Cricetulus griseus: one gene and its partners. The protein of the gene in region 4 interacts with the protein of the main gene of each other region in a pairwise test. Links are inferred from orthologs where the notes say so. Each region holds a gene or a part of one and is shown on either strand. Other genes may lie near its edges.

Region 1 (4,029 bases), on a different chromosome or scaffold from region 4:
GGCAGAGGACTGGAGGAGGACGCCTAGACTAAGGTTGCTAAAATTCCAACTTGGCTGGCTCTAGGCAATAGTCTACAGTGCTTAGTGTCCCTCCTGCTGCTCACCTGGGGCTTTGTGGGATGCTGAGTTCATTCTGCACAGCAAGAGCCACACTGTCACCCTTCTGGAACACCATATCATAAGGGCCTTCCCCAAACATCATGGCATAAAGCACACAGCCTAGGGACTGAGCATAATTTGGTTAGTTTCTGGAAGAGGAAAAATGGTATCCCATTTATTGCTATGGTAAAAGGAGACCATTTAAGCTAAAAATATGCCAACCTCACCCAAAGGAACTGTGTTTGCAGGAGGCCTCTTCAGCCCCTGCTTAGCTATTGCCTCCAGCAGTTGACCCAGTTCAGCCACAGAGATGACACCACTTCCTGAGAACAGTATCACTGATGGTTCCCAGGAAGGAAGTGGAGAACTATGGAGACATACTGTGGTTCTGGGGTCCCATGCAACAGAAACCAAAGGTCCCCTTCCCTCTGCTCCATAGTGACTACAGAGCCACACCCTTCTCCACCCAAGTTCCTGCCCACGTGCTTCTCACCCAGACATCAGTCCGCTCATCGATGACACAGTGGCTCTGCACAGAAAAAAGCTCAGGTGCCCGGTAGGAGATGGTGCACCGCTGGGCTGCCCAGTCCTGGAACAGTGTCCCCAGAGCTCAAAAGTGGAGCACAAGCCATATCATGTGACCAAATCGGTGCATGCATCAGAATGAGTTGGGGATGGGGGGAAAATGACAAAGGAACCTGGAGACTCTCTTACCTGTAGAGCTAGGGCCTGGCGTGAGCCCTCCACCTGGATGCATGCTTGATTCATAGACCCCAAGTCCATTAAAACTGGCTGCCCCTCATCACCAAGCAAAATATTGGTGGGCTTCAGGTCCCTGGAGGGAAGTGAAAATGACCCGAGGGCATCCTGGACAGGGAAGCTGGGATCCCAGGGAGCACCATGGGAGAATGCAGACATATCCCAATTCTCTTGACACAGCTCATCGCCTGGGTGCCAATAAGTGCATAGGGCCCTCCCACTGACCTGTGCGCATAACCTTTGGCATGAATGGCCTCAAGGCCTCTGCAGATACCCAGCAACAACGGAAGGATTTGGTCTTCAGTCAGGAAGTTGCCTTGGTCCTTCAGTCTTTCTATCTCATTCCACAGTGTACCTCTCTACAACACAAATTTTCCTGTGCTGAGAAGTTTTTTAAAGTCCCTACTACCTGGGACTCATTTCTATTCTGTGTCAAGGTCGGATACTGGTCATCCAGGGCTCTGTGGGATGTCGAATTCATATTGGACCCATTGGTCCTATAAGCCCCAAATTTAAAATGGCCCAAACCAGGACATGTGATCCTATCGTGTTTATGTATGACTACCCACAGAGCCCTTGGGAGGACTGTGAAATCTATTACAATCCCCTCTGTAACCAGCAGCCTTTCTGACCTTGAAGAAGGGTAGCAGGAGCCAGGCTTCATGCTTAGCACCTCGTTCTTTCAAACAGTAAGCCACGAGGCGAAGGATGTTGGGATGGTGGAAGAGGCGATGCATGTCCGCCTCTCTCTGGGCCTCGTCCTGGTCCTGCTGCTCATGACACAGGATTCGCTTCAGGGCGTAGAAGTGTCCATCATGTAACCCCTCCACTAGGTCCACATAGCTGAACCCACTGTGGGCCAAAGGGGTCAGTGAAGGACCATGGTCATCTCCCACATGGCTTGGACCCAGAGGCATTCCCTTGGGGAGGGAATTTCTACTCCATGCCTCTCACATGGAGGAGAAACCCTCCCAAGATGTGGCTCTCATATAGCTTCAAGATTTAGGGTTTGAGCTCCTCAAGAGCAGGGACACAGAAATCATTGAGGTTCCATGGTCTGAGTACAAGACATTCAATTAATATCAAGTAGCAACAAACATCTATCAGGTGTTTATGAGCCAGTCACGGGGTGACATGTTTTAAAAAATATACTATCACAGTTCTCACCAGCCCCTCAATGAGAAATCTCTATTAAGCAGATAAAGAAACCATTTACTTAAGGTCACACAAGGTGGATCCAGAAGGCCAGGGTACAGATTCCACTTTCTTGACCCATTCAACTAAGTCGGGTGAGGTAGAATCTAAGGCTAATACTCTAGCGTCTCTATCACATGCTGACTATTGTCCCTAAATGACCTGGGACTAGCTAAGTGACTTCCAAACACTCACCCCTCCCCCAATTTCTGGATGAAGAGGTAACGCTTATTATCAATGATGACAGTTCCCCGGGAGCAGACACACAGTGCGTGGCCCATAACGTCTCAGTCATCCTCTTCAAGGATGGTCTTTCTTCCAGGGAGAGTGGGCTCTTCCAGGCAATGGGCTGGGGGCCCAGCGGAGCATGCTGGAATGAAAACAGCAGGTCGAGGGTCAAGAACAATCCTGAGAGCCACTGGGGTACCAATACGGAGAGCTCAGGTCCAGCTCCTGGAACCGAGATTCACGTCTTAAAGCAAACAGGCCCCGGCGACTCCAGCGCTAAGAAGGCTGAGTTCTGGCGCTTCAAAGCGTCAAGCCACGCTGCGTCTTACCAGGCCGCTTCTTTCAACCCCGGCACACCTTCGGCCAGGTCCCGCTCTCACGCCCGTCGGGCATGGGGTGGCTGCGCAGGAGGTGCGGGACTCGAGCCCACCTCTGGCTGATCCTACCCTCCGTCGCCCGGGACCGAGCCCAGGGTCTGCCAGTACAGAAGACTCTTCACTGATCAGGCTCGGGCCTGAGCAAAGGGCCAGGGACCGGAAGCCACGGTGACATCATCAGTCCGCGCCGAAGTAACGGCCCTCTGTATCCTAGCAACAAGAGGCAGCAAGAGGCTATGGGGACCCGGAAGTGAGAGGCAGGGGCCCGGCTGGGGGGTGGAATGGTTTCTGTATCTCGCTGAGGGTTCCCACTTGGCCTTCAGGAAGGGTCAAGACGCAGGGACTTGTACCAAAGGGGAGCAAAGCCGGGCTCTGCCTGAGGCCCCTAGGACCTCCGTCCCCCAATGTCGGAGGTAGGAGTCAGAAAGTGGCCTACTGCAGTCTAGCTTGGAGGAGGGCCCAGGGAGGGGTGGGTCCTGGCCCTTATAAGCCTGGACGTCTGATCCGGTTAACACTTTCAAGCCTCTAGCCTGTGTTCCATTGCCTTAGCTAGAGTCCGGAGTGCGCCTTTGAAACAGAGTGCCGGTTTCTAAATCTGGTCCTAATAGTCTCCTAGCTGCGTGACCTCCAGGAAGTGATTTAGCCTCTCAGGTCTTCACTCTTCCCACCTGTAAGACAGTAGTACCTAGGGCAATGTGTTGTGAATTGTGAGGCCAAACTGACTAGCTGCAATCCCAGTTCTATTGAACTAAATGTGACTTTGGACAGCCACTTAATTCATTTTCCTCATCTGTAAGATGAGAATGATAATTATTCCACGGGTTTTTTCAAGATTAAATGAAACATCGTTCATACAGTATCTGACACATAGCCTTCAAGGTGTGTTGCTAAACAGAAATTGTTGTATTTTCTACCCTGATTCTCACATCTACAGCTGTGAAGGCAGGAGACATGGAAAATTGGATTTCCAAGCCTTTGCATTACGCAGTTGTTTTCACATCTTTTGCCTAGATAGGCAGATATGTTGGGAAGGGGTGCACACTCAAGAGGGGGGGGGGCAAATAGACTCCTTGTAGCCCAGTTTTCCTTTTCCATAGTCATGATCACCATGAAGTTTTTTTTTTTTTTTTTTTTTTTACGTTTTTCACTGTTTCTGCACCTGTTTTTAGCCCTTCGTTCTGTTGCTACTTATATGGATTTAACCTGATATGTGCCAGATCCTTTGCTAGTCATAAAGATTCAAGACACAAGTCCTCAGAGAGTTCAGTATAGAAGAGCAAGGCACTTTATTAAAATATAGATTCTGATTCTATGGTCTTGGGTAGGACCCAGGACTCTGCATTTCTAACAAGCTCCCAGGTGCTGTTGATGA
Region 2 (3,971 bases), on a different chromosome or scaffold from region 4:
TTTTTAAAAGCTTAAACATTTAAGAAAAATGTCAAGACTGTAGTTATTCCTGAAAAATTAAAAATCTGTAGCATTTATTTAGGGCTGCCATGCAAACTCAACTTCAAATGGACTCAGTCAAAACTTGAGTCCTGACAAATCTAGCTTTGGATTTGCCACTGCAACCCACTCAACACATTTTGTCTTCTCTTGTGCCCTCTTCTGGATTCAAAAAACTAGTTTCTCAAAGATTTGGGAGTAATGGGTCATAAAAAGCCATTGAAGCAACAGTACTGTGTGACCAAAACATACATGAAAGACAGATCACCCCCAAACCCTCAACAGTTTCCCTCCTTATTCTTCATCCCAACTTAAGACATATTTTGAGGGGTGTCACTTCCAACGGTTCAGGGTCTGCATCACTGTAAATGATGAGTCCTGTGGGGAATACATAAACCTCATAAAACAAATTTAAAATCTAAAAAGTACCATTATTTGACAACCTTAATACTTCCCCACTTTCTGAAAACCAAAATGCAGTGTTACATAATTCCTAAGTTTTCTAGGCTGCTCTAGATCCTTACAATTAAGCACTTAACTTCTACTGCACCTTACAAAAAAAATCTGATATCCGGCATCTGTCTTCAAAGTTACATTGTCTACAGTAAGTTTTTCACCAGTGACTGCTTGAATGCTTAAATGACATGCTGAGTTTAACATTTTTTCTTCCAAGTATTCCCTTCACTACTCTTCAGTTTATAAACTTTTAATCTGCGAATATATAAATTTTGACATTTATTTCTTAAGTATTTCCTCAAGACTTTTACGTTTAACATGTTAAATAAAATTCAGTTTGGGTAACGACATCGGTTTTAAAATGCAGCAAATGTCTTTCACTTTAATATCACCATAAAGTATTGTCCAAGGTAAGATGGTATTGACCCAACCTCACGGACAAGCCATTTCCAGATAATAGGGGACCCAAACTGTCTCTGTTGTCCATCCAAATCAAGTATTTGACTAATCCCTGCAGCCACTACCCATGCCCAGAAGTTTAGGTGCTGTGTGGAAATCAGATGGAACAAGGTTTAAGAGGTTGTTTTCCCTTCTTTTGGTAGGAAAGGCGCTGCTAGAAAGAAAAAAGGCCTAAGTGAAAGCCGCTGAGGCGGAGTCGTGAGCGAACCTGGCAGGAGATGAGATTCCTGTGGCAGAGAAACTCGTGACCCGGGAGCTTGGTTCCCGCTGGGTACCCCACCCGGCCTCAGGCACCGCCTCTACCGAAAATGAGTCCCCCACCTCGCCCCTCCAAGGCCAGCGGAACGCCGTGGCCGCCGCCCGGGCCTCCTTCCCCCTCAAGCTCCTCTTCTAGGCCGGCTCCCCGCCCGGCCGGGCCGCCCGCGCCTCCCGCCGCACCCGGGAGCGGGAAACGCGGCCGTCGGCGCGCGGGTCCACGGTGCAGGCCGCTCCCCTCGTGGCCGCTTCCCTCCCCCACCCAACCGCCACCAAACCGAGGCGGGGGAGGGGCGGCGGGCGCCGGCCGCCCGCAGTGCGGGGGACCCGGCGATGGCCGCCGAGGGTCCCGGGCCTTCGGTCCCAGAGTGCAGTGTGGCCTTGGGCACCCTTCCCCCCTCCGCTCCTCAGCCGGCCCGAGTCGGTGACAGGAATCGGCTTCCAACATGGCGGACAGGAAGCGGCCCCGCGAGGAGGAGAGAACATTCCAGCCTCGCCGGCTCTGAGAGCGGGCCAGGGGCGCCGGCCTCCGGAGAAGCCTCGAGGAGAGACAGCAGGGTCCGGCGCCCGGAAGGGGCGTTTAGGGGTGAAATGACTCGAGGGGAGAAGGGGTCCCAGCCGCCCCCCCCAGACAGCAAACCCCAGGGCCACAGGTGGGCTTGGGTGGCGGGTGAGGGAGGACGCTTCCTCAACTCAGCCCTCAGCCCGGCTCCTCGCTGCCTGCAAGAGGGTCTCGCGACACCACCCGAGCCGGGATTCACTAGGCCCGCCGGAATTACATACACCTCGAGGGAATTTTTTTTTTTTTTTTTGCGGGCGGCCGAGTTTGATCCCTTCTTAGGGCCCCCCACATTCCGGCAACTCCGGGGCCGTAGAAGAGGAGGGGGGAAAAAAAATAAGGTTGTGGACTTCCAAAGCCGACCGTAGAGAGAGGTCTGCCTCCAGCCGGGGCGGGGGCCGGGGAAGGTCACGCTGGCCTGCTTGGGCCTCTCCCATGCTGAAGGGAAGGAGAGGGCGCTGCAATCCCCACCTCGCGGCCCGCGCCCGGGAAGAATGAAAGGGGGCATCCCAGGCCCCGCGGGACGCACACCCCGGCCGGGTCCGCGCTTTTCACATCTAGCCCCACCCCCATCCCCTCGTCGGCCCCCCAGCCCCAGCCCCCCTTCCCCCACCGCCCTCCCTCCCAGACCTGTTTTCTTCTTCGGCGTTTCCTGGTGCTGCTGAAGGGTGTGTTTCTGCTCATGTTTCAGCGGCTTGGGCTGGGCCTTGGGGCTGCCCTCGGCTCCATGCTGCAGGTACTGGTGAGGCTGCTGGTGATGGTGGTGGTGGTGGTGGTTGTGGCTGTGGTTGTAGAAATAATAATGGTGATGGTGATGCGACGACTGCTGCTGCTGCTGCTGCTGCTGTTGCTGCTGCTGCTGCTGCTGGGGGTGATGGTGCGGATGGTGGTGGCTGTGATGGTGCTGAGGCTGTGGCTGGCCGGGCTTCTCCTCCATTGAAAGCGGCTGGGACTCCCTGGCTGAGGCTGCAGGCTGCTGCACCGTCAGGATCTGAGACTGCTTCTCAGCGCTCGCTCAGTATATCTGAGCGCGTCTCGCCAGCGCACTGGTTAAGCGAGCGGATCTGGAAGATTGGCAGCAGCCCTCCAGCAATCAGGAGCCACGCTGCGCGTCAAGCCCCGCCCCTAGCCCAAATCCTCTTCCCTTCCCCTTCGCCGCCGCCGCCTGGCCAACGCCACTTACCCTATGCAACCTCACAGGGCCGGGCCTTCAACGTCAGCATTATGGCTCTCTCTTCTATCGCTTTCTCTCCTTCACCACGCAGTTAGCGAACAGCACTTTCTACACTCCTCACAGGCAAGCAAGCTGATTTCGAGTGTAGCAGATTCCACGGACGATTACTGGCGCTAGGAGCCATCTGTTGGTTTTGCACCTCCTAGAATCTGTTGGGGTGTGTGTGTGTGTGTGTGGTTTTGGATTCTTTTTTTTTAAATCCTTTTCCGGGTAACCAGAGCAGAGGGGGAAGCTCAATTTCCTTAACCCTTAGGCCACGAAAGGGGCAATACAAAAGAGGAAATAAATTCAATTTTAAGAATACAAAACCTTCACAACTCGATAGATCGTTTTTGTATTCTGGATTCATTTTGCTTTGTATTCATATGCTAATCTCTTCCTTTCCACGGAGGGATTATAGGGTTCCACAATGGGGTATCTGTGTAATTTTCTAAAAGGGCACAAAGGGCTTAAATCATTGTTTCTTTGTAGTTGAAGGCAAGAAAGAGGGATGGATGAAAAATATATACTGAAGGGTTTTTTTGTTTTGTATTGTTTTAATTAAACACTACAGGTAAGGTCAACTATGAAACCAAAATAGGTTTTAGATTAAGAATTTTAAGAGTGAAGGAAGGGAGAAAGTACACCTTTAAAAGTTCTTACGATTTTAATTTTTACATCTTTTTGTTTTGCATTTACAGAAAACATTGCAATTTAAAGATGTATTTGCATTCTATGCAGTTAATTCAACTCATAGTAGGAAGAGGGTTGTGATGACAGACACAGAATATCCTCAAAATATATTTTTGTGGGTCTTGGCAGGAGGGGTTGTTTGCTTGTTTTGGATTGGTTTGTTTTTGAAACAGTCTGTGTAACCCAGATTGACTTGGAACTCCAACTAAGAGATCCCCCTGCCTCTGCCTTCTGAGTGTTGGGATTAAAGTCCTACACCACCACACCAAGCCAATATGCTATTTCTTAAAACTACAT
Region 3 (4,084 bases), about 220 Mb from region 4:
TAGTAAATATCAAACCTACTAAATTCTATAAGAAAAATTAAGTTACAAAATGGTAGACCTTGTCTTGTGCTACAAATAGTTTTATATTTTTTTTGTACATGTTTCTAAGTCTGCTCCCCTGACTCACTCAGCAGTTTGATGTGTTTTCCGTTTGTGGTACAGGGGTAAGCTTTCAACTTTCATCACATTTTCTGTTTCCACAGAAAACAGAGAAAGCTTTAAACATTAAGCAATATCAGAGTAAGTTACTTTAGGAAGGTTTTACTTTTACCCATTAAATCATTTTTAGTTACAGCATAGTGAAATATAAACTTCTACGGAATTTAAAACTTTAGTGTCACTCTTTAAAAAAAAATCTTACAAATCTTCACATAAATAATTTTTTCATTTATTATATTTCTAAAGTCCTGAAATAAAATGGGGAAGCTGTCAGGATGGAAATTTAAGCTGGGAATCTTAGACTCAAGAGCTTCATGATTTATTATCGCTACACATTCATTAAACAGCTACAATAAAAAATAAAAACAAACAAACAAAAAAACCTTGTACATAGCAAATATTAGCAAGGATACAGAACAAGAGAAATACACACCCATATGCTGTTGGTTGTGTCTTATAAAACTAAACAGAACTGGCCAGATGAGGTGGCGCAAGCCCTCAATCCATCCCAGCACTTGTGAGATCCAAGTCAGCCTGGTCTACAAAGCAAGTTCCAGGACAGCTGGGGCTACATAATGAAACACTGTCTCAAAATAAAACAAACAAAATAGCAGGGCATGCTGGCACAGGCCTTTAATCCCAGCACTAGGGAGGCAGAGGCAAGTGGATCTCTGAGCTGGACTATAGAGTTCCAGGACACCCAAGGCTGTTTCACAGAGAAACTCTTGTCTTGAAAAACCAAAACAGCACCACAACAAAACTCAAAAAGTAAACAGAAGCATTCTAATGCAGATAAAGGCATATATTGTCAAAATGATTTATATGCGACTGTTCACAGCAACTACAATTGAGAAAGACCCTGGACAGTAGATTGTGGCATATGCATGCTATGGAAAACCACAGAGCAGTTAGGTACTGAGCTGGGGACATGGGTCAGTGGTAGAGTGGAGCCTGTGCCTAGTATGCAAACATCTGGGGTGGGAGGGGTACAAACATTCACAAGGATGAATCTCAAAAATATGCTGAAGAGGGAAAGAAAAAAAGTCTTTCCCAAAAGATTTCATTATATACAACTCTGCGTATGTGAACTTCTGGACAGGCAAAATCAATCTCTGGTGGGGGAAAAAAAAATCCCCACGGGGGTGACAAAGAGTGACTTCTTTAAAGAGAAGGTGAGACAAAAGCTTTCAAGTCAGCTCTAACAGGCCACACCTAGTTGTGTGCTTGGCTGGCACAGGTGTAGATGGGTTTGTGAAAACTGGCTAAGGCACCCACGTGCACATCAAATTTATGTGGAATAAATTTCCACAACAGTGGTTTTCAAGTTAACTAACACGCACACGGCTTACGTGCCTTGTAAGGTGATACCGATATCGGTATTTACACCTTAAAAATGTATTTTAGAAATAAGGGACGCATAACACAGCAAGTGCAGGAAAATGTCAATCGTGGGTGAGGCACACACATGCTGGAAAACACAAAGACGTTCAACCTTTTACAGCAGCGTTAACAAGGAATGGTGATTCAGTCAACAGTAGTTCCCTCAGCTGATGCCACACACCCTCCTGTTTCACAAAAAAAAAACAAAAACAAAAAAAAAAAAAAAAAACGACTTCACCTTTGGAACTAGATAAACGTTCAGAGAACCTAAAGGCACATTCCAGTGCCTGTTAATTGCGTCCTCGCACAAAACCGTCCACGATGTTGAGACTGTCAACAATCCGAGTGCTCTAGAACGTGCTAAACAGATAAATCTGCTAACTTTTACCAGGGGCTCTTAATTAGCTGCAAAATTTGCTTTCCCTGAACGGGATTTAAAGCGATTATTTGTTTAGTAAGACTCCCCGTTAACACCAATTCTGTTTTCTTGCGTCCGGCGGCAACCACCTAACACCCCGGCAGGTAGGTATGGCTCTCGTCCCCCTGGAGTCGAACAATAACCTGCCCCGTGACGGGCGGGCGAGCCGGCGAGCGGGCGAGCGGCTGGGCGATGACGAAGGTTATTGAGACAGAAACAGCGAGTCGTCCGTGAATCAAAGTCTTTGACTTTTCTCCCTCGGGCGTGAGCTTATCACCAGGCTGACTGAAAGCGATCTCCACGTCACAATTTTAAATATATATGTATATATATAATAGCGTATATATAATAAAAGGCTGAAAGGTGTGGGGGGGACACACAACACAGAACGCAGCCTGCACGTGCTCCTCACCCCCAAATCTCTGCGATTCGCCGGCAGGTGAAACAATGACCCCCACCGGGCCCCGCCCGCCTCACCTCACCGCCCCGCCGCCCCGCCAGCCGGGCCACAGAGGCCGAGCGAGCGCCGCCCGCGCCCTGCCCGCCCGCTCCTTTGTCAGGAGCCGAGGCCCGGAGCTCGGCGGCCGCCGCTCGCCCTCCCCCGGCCCCGCAGAGCCCCGCAGAGCCCCGCAGGGCCGGGCCCGGCCGCCCTCCCCGCCCCGGCGCCCCGGCGCCCCGGGGCCTCACCTGCTGGACCGAGCTGTCCTCGGGCACAGCGAACTCCTCCTTCTCCTTGGGCGTCTTCACCGTGACCTTCATGATCTTGGGCTCCGCGGGGCCGCCGTCGGCCGCGGCTGCGTCCTGCGCGCCCGGGGGGCCGCCGCTCTCGGCGCTCTCGGCCATGGCGGTGACTCAGGCGACCGGGACCCTGCGGGCTGCGGCCGGCTCGGCGCGGCGCGGCGGAGCGGAGCGGGCACGGGCTGCGGCGGGGCCGCCGAGGGCGCGCGGGCACGGGCTGCGGTGCGGTGCGGTGCGGTGCGGGCCCGGGCGGGCGATCGATGGCTCGGCTGCCGTCTCCGCGTCGCCGCGCCGCCGCCGCCGCCGCCGCTTCCTCCTCCCGCACCTCCCCCACGTCCGTCGCCGGCGCCGCGCAGGGCACGCTGGGTAACGCGCTGGCCGCCGCGCCGACTCAGGGGCGCGGGGCACGCCGGGAAGCCGAGTCCTCGCCCGCCTCACGCCTGCCGCCGCCGCGCGCCGCCGCCGGGCTGACGAGGGGCGCGGGCTCCTCCGGCTCCAAGGCAGCCGCGGCGGCGGCAGGGGGAAGGGGACAGCGAGTTAACTCGGTTCGCTTCATCGCCCCCGCTGCGTCGGGAGCCGCTCCCCGGGGTCTCTGCGGGGCGCCGCCGCGGCGCCCTGAAATGACGTCACGGCCGGCGGCGAACTTGCTGGAAGCGGCCTGGCCCGCTGGGCCTGCGCTCCCGGTGTCCCCCGACCCGGCCCCGGTGGCCGGCGGCCCGCGCGGGCACTTGGTTCTGAGGAGCGCAGCGTGTGCCCGGGCGGAAGGGGCTGGGGCCGCCCGCCCGGCTCTGGGCCCCGCTGGAGCTGCGCCACCGCGGGCGGGCGCGGAGACGGGAACGGACGCGGGGCAGCGCCAGCGCCAGCGCCAGCGCGGGGCCCACAGCCCGCAGGCGTGGGTGCAGGGAGGCCGCGGCCCCGTCCCCGGAGCCAGGCCGGACACACGGCCGCCCTGCTCCGCCTTCCACGCTGTGCGCGGCAGACGCGGGTGCCCAGGGCGGGCCGCTCCACGGGTGGGCTGCAGCCTGGGGCTCGTGTGCGCCTCCAGGACGCGGTCCAAAGTTACTGCGCCCCCCCCCCCCCAGGCCCGAGGTGCCCTCCGGGGTAACCCCAGTGGAGAACGTAGGTCCAGTTAAGTTATTTCCGTTTCAGCCGTGACCCCCACGCCATCCATAACTTGCGATACATTGTGGCACTTGGCACACTAGCTGGTGCTGCACCAAGGTGAGCGCTGACAGAGCACCGTGACCCAAATACGCAAAGACATCCCATATTTTTGCTCTTAGGCCATCGAACCCTTTTCCGTGATTAACTGCTGTTGCATAAACACGTCTTAGCAGAGCCCTTTGAAATCTGGGTCAGAGTTGCGGCGGCGGTGTAAATTGCAAGACG
Region 4 (4,146 bases):
AGGTGGCTCACACCAGACTTCATTCACATGGGCACATGGGTAGCTGGCACCAAAATATGAAGATAGGATATAGGTCCTCCCAACAGCACAAGAAAACAGTCCACCAGGAAAAGCACCCATTAGCTGAGCATATAAAACAAGGCCTTGTCAGGTCTGGTGGCACACACTTTTAATTCTAACACCCAGGAGGCAGAAGCAGGAGGATCCCTCTGAGTTCCAAGCCAGCCAGAGCTATAGAGTTCCAAGCCAGCTAGAACTGGCTTAAAAATAAATGAGGCGTTGTCCATTCACACCCTCAGCTGACTCTAGACCAGGATCTTCCCTCCTCCAAAGCCAGCGGTTTCCAAGGCCGAGACCTGATAAAGAGCTGGCAAGAGGCTGGGAGCAGAGCTCTAGCATGTCTGCACAGGAAGTGAGGGAGCTGCTGGGGACTTCCTGGGCCAGCAGACCATGCACCAGGCCTGCTGCAGGTGAGGGTTCAGATGTTTCTCTGAGGAGCCAGAGGCTTCTCTCAGCAAGGAAGGAACATGAGGTCTGCGGTATTTAGTGTGGAAAATTACTTTATTTATGTTAGTTACTGCTTTTGAGATAGGCTCTCATGTAGCTCAGGGTGGCCTCAAACTCCTTATGCAACTGAGGTAACCTTTAACTTCCAATCTTCTTTTCTCTACCTCCCTGGTGGTGGGATTACAAGTGTGTGCTGGGGATCAAACCCAGAGACTCTGTCTCAAAAAACAAAGTACACAGTCCTGCAGTGGTGGCACACACCTTTAGTCCCAGCACTCAGCACTAGGGAGTCAGAGGCAGGCAGATCTCTAAGTTCTAGGCCAACCTGGACTACAGAGTGAGTTCCAGGACAGCCAGGGCTACACAGAGAAATCCTATCTCGAAGAACAAGGTGCTAGGGAGGGACAATGAGAGAGAACAAATATGAAGTGTGTCAGGAGAATGATACCATGATTTTAAAAACTTTCACTTTGCTTCTTTTATTTATTTTTAAATTTACTTTTTTATTTTATGTGCATTGGTGTTTTGCCATGGGTACCAGGTCCCCTGAATTAGAATTACAGACAGTTGTGAGCCACCATGTGGTTGCTGGGAATTGAACCCAGGTCCTCTGGAAGAGCAGCCAGTGCTCTTTACCTCTAAGCCATCTCTCCAGCGCCCCCCTTTGTTTTCTTTTGGTTTTTACTTTTCTTTTTACTTTATACACTAAATACAAAATTAATTTTAAAAAGACATGTAAGAGGTCTGGAAGCATTGGTGCCAGCCAGCATGGCTCCCACTTACCCACACAGCTCTCCTGTTCATCAGGTTCATAGCCTGGTGGGCAAGGATTGGGGTGTTGAGCAGGGGGCACTGGTGGTGGAGGGCCTTCGCCATGTAGATCATTAATGACAGCCGCAGATCGAGGCAGACACAAATAGCCCCCATAGTGGTTGATGCATTTCATTTCGCCCTTGCAGGCCTCGGGGATGGTCAGGCACTCGTTGACATCTGCAGAAAGGGGCCTGCTGGGCACAGCCAGTCACCTGGGCTGGCCCTGGAGGTAGTGGGAGGCAGAATCCCAGCTTGGCCTTCTCTAAGCTGAGCAACAGAGCAAGGTTTTCTCTCTGCTCAGCAAATTAAGGCTGATGACCCAGAACCCCTCCCAGTGATTTGCAGGACTGGGGATAGGGCCACCTATTTTCGCCGTTGTCCCTATTCTCCTGCCTCCAAGTGAGTTTCCATTCCTCCTCAAAACCCTGCCTCTACCTCTGCCCCAGAGTAATTTGCAGGCCTCCAAACCCACAGAGTGTGTACTGCTCTCCCAGGTTGCACTGGGATAAAGAGCTGGGCTAGGAGAGTAGAGGGCAGTTGGCGGAAGGTGTGCAGATCTCCGTTTCTCTGGGCAGTCACCAGGTGCTCTCCTGTCTACTGCAAATAGAGGCAGAGTTCATTGCACTTCTTGAAGGGGTAGGACTCCTAATTGAGTGGCTGGCTTTGGCTCAGCCAAGCTGGACAGTGAAAAGGCCATTAGGTTCCTGCAGCTGGTCTAGGAGCCAGGTTATCCCTGGGAAACAATAGTTGCCTTCCCAGTTCCTGAAAATGGCTAGTATCCCAGGCATACTCACCCCGGCAGTGCTGGCTGTCTGCGTCCCACTCATAGCCATCTGTACATTCCTGGAAGGGGACCCCAAGTGGCCAGTGACCACTCTGGAAGTCTCCTCCAACTAGCCAGAACAAGGCCAGGGCCTGAGCTCAGTTATGCTCGGGTCAATTCACACAATGACTCCCAGTCTTCCACCAACCAAGCAGAGGAGAGTCTTCCCCAGGCACCCCAAGATCCTGGTCCTTCCCATCCCATCCCATCCCATCCCATCCCATCCCATCCCATCCCATCCCAAGCTGGTCCCCACCGTGTAGCTGTCCGGCTCTTCCGAATCCTGTGGAGACGCTGCTCCCAAGAGCAACAGCAGGAGCGCCCAGAGCAGTAAAGACCCGGGAAGGCAGGAGGCAAAAGGGAGCATCCTGGGGCTGGGAGGTAGTGGGCAGGGGTCAGGGGCCTCTGCCACGACACCCCCCATTCCCTGTATCAGGAAGGGGACACTGGATTCCCGGCTGTCTCAGAACTGTGCTGGGAGCACCGGAGCCTTCCAGAGTTGGGGGCCGAGTCCTTTCGCAGGCCTGGGGCTCGCAGGCCCGCAATCCCGGACCGCCCCGCCCCCGCCCCGCGAGTCGTGGAGCGCAGGCCTCTCGGCTTGGCGTAGCGCGGACCCGGCCGCGACACGGCCCGCGCCCTCCCTCCGCTGGCGGCCACTCACTCGTTGACTCCGGCAGTGCCTGCGGGCGGACGGACGGACCGGACCGCGCAGCTCGCTGGACGCGCGGCCCCAGGAAGCGCCCCCGCCCGCCCGCCCGCCCGCCCGCCCGCCCGCCGCGGCCCACCCCGGCGCCTCCGCCCGCCCTTCGGCGGATTCCTGAGCCCGCGCCAGGGGGAGGGACCCCGACCCCCCGGCTTCTCCACCCCGGGCCGGCCACAGGCCCCCACCCGGTCCCCCGCGGCGCCGCCTGGAGGCGCCTGCGGGCGCCCAGCCAGAGTTCCCTAACGCTTGGGTCCCGGGGCCACTGACCTTGATGTTTGGCCCCCAAATTCACCTGGGGACCCCGGGCCCTCATTCAAAATGTTGTCCTAGCCACCTAGACCCTATCCAACCTGGTCCTCTAGAATCCCTGAGTGTGCACTCGCACCTCAGCTGTAGCTAAACACCCAGACCCTGAATCTGCGCCTCTCAGAACCTACTCGCCACTTATTTTCTCAAACCTCCAAATCCTACTACTTGCAGAATTTTATCCTGTGCTCCCCACATCATCAGTTAGATGGTCTCAAACATTCATCCAAGGTTTCCGGACATAAAGTTAATTGTCCCTCTCCCTCCGGCCATGAGCTCCGCGGCCTCCAGGTGGTCGCTCTACTCAGGGCACTGCTTCCCCGGAGCCTGCCTGCACAAAGCTACGCTAATGTGGGGGTGAGGGCAGCTGTCGTCTTGGCCCGAAATGAATGGAACCCCCGAGAAACTGGCAAACTTGAACTTGGGCGCAGAGGACACTAGGGCCCACTGCCAGCCCTTTTCCGACCCTCTTTCCCTTCAGGTCCCCCACCCAGTTTCCGTCTTGGTCCCCAGCAAAGATCATGCCTTGAGGGAGGAGCCGGTGTGCCTCCGGCTCCCAGGAAGGGGCGAATGGGCGGGACTTCGCGTTGCCCACGTCTCAGGGCGGGACTAGACGGGAAAGGACTGCGTGTCCAGGGTTCCCTTGCCTGGCCCTTGCTGGTTACGGCAATAGCCTGACCTTCCTTTCCCTTACCCAACCTCTTTCCAGTCTTTCTTTCTTTGTTTTATCTTTTCGAGACAGGTTCTCACAAGTAGTTCTGGCTGTCCTGGAACTCACTATGTAGATCCACCTGCCTCTTGCCTCCCAGGTGCTGGGATGAAACGCGTGTGTCACCATGCCCAGCTCTGCCATGATTTAAAAAATGTATTTGCCTCATTTCAAGGACTTGTCTATATGTAGTATATCCCTGTGTGCCTACGTACCAGTGTAGGATATTGTGTCACTGAATCTAGAGTTCACTATTTCTGCCCGTCTCCACCTCCCAGGACCTCC

What was found. The genes of interacting proteins can lie anywhere in the genome.
Region 1: the proteins of Efemp2 (region 4) and Stk16 interact in binary tests that used the Homo sapiens proteins (3 or more experiments, as listed by UniProt). The two-hybrid records come from large-scale screens. The link is inferred for Cricetulus griseus from reciprocal best matches to the Homo sapiens genes EFEMP2 and STK16.
Region 2: the proteins of Efemp2 (region 4) and nuclear fragile X mental retardation-interacting protein 2 interact in binary tests that used the Homo sapiens proteins (3 or more experiments, as listed by UniProt). The two-hybrid records come from large-scale screens. The link is inferred for Cricetulus griseus from reciprocal best matches to the Homo sapiens genes EFEMP2 and NUFIP2.
Region 3: the proteins of Efemp2 (region 4) and Ubqln1 interact in binary tests that used the Homo sapiens proteins (3 or more experiments, as listed by UniProt). The link is inferred for Cricetulus griseus from reciprocal best matches to the Homo sapiens genes EFEMP2 and UBQLN1.

Annotation. Positions count from the first base shown.
Region 1 is NC_048595.1:428,365,353-428,369,381, reverse strand, and holds the start of Stk16 (serine/threonine-protein kinase 16), read right to left. Parts: upstream 2,801-4,029; 5' UTR 2,610-2,800; intron 2,423-2,609; 5' UTR 2,334-2,422; coding exon 2,248-2,333; intron 1,711-2,247; coding exon 1,491-1,710; intron 1,218-1,490; coding exon 1,084-1,217; intron 935-1,083; coding exon 814-934; intron 689-813; coding exon 593-688; intron 227-592; coding exon 105-226; intron 1-104. UniProt on the Homo sapiens protein: Membrane-associated protein kinase that phosphorylates on serine and threonine residues. In vitro substrates include DRG1, ENO1 and EIF4EBP1. Also autophosphorylates. May be involved in secretory vesicle trafficking or intracellular signaling.
Region 2 is NC_048600.1:91,081,928-91,085,898, reverse strand, and holds the start of nuclear fragile X mental retardation-interacting protein 2, read right to left. Parts: upstream 2,801-3,971; 5' UTR 2,706-2,800; coding exon 2,399-2,705; intron 1-2,398. UniProt on the Homo sapiens protein: Binds RNA.
Region 3 is NC_048596.1:277,235,694-277,239,777, forward strand, and holds the start of Ubqln1 (ubiquilin-1), read right to left. Parts: upstream 2,801-4,084; coding exon 2,645-2,800; intron 1-2,644. Other genes in the region: translation initiation factor IF-2-like, read left to right, coding at 2,799-3,047, 3,091-3,828. UniProt on the Homo sapiens protein: Plays an important role in the regulation of different protein degradation mechanisms and pathways including ubiquitin-proteasome system (UPS), autophagy and endoplasmic reticulum-associated protein degradation (ERAD) pathway.
Region 4 is NC_048596.1:53,864,090-53,868,235, forward strand, and holds the start of Efemp2 (EGF-containing fibulin-like extracellular matrix protein 2 precursor), read right to left. Parts: upstream 2,801-4,146; 5' UTR 2,511-2,800; coding exon 2,400-2,510; intron 2,164-2,399; coding exon 2,115-2,163; intron 1,498-2,114; coding exon 1,291-1,497; intron 1-1,290. UniProt on the Homo sapiens protein: Plays a crucial role in elastic fiber formation in tissue, and in the formation of ultrastructural connections between elastic laminae and smooth muscle cells in the aorta, therefore participates in terminal differentiation and maturation of smooth muscle cell (SMC) and in the mechanical properties and wall integrity maintenance of the aorta.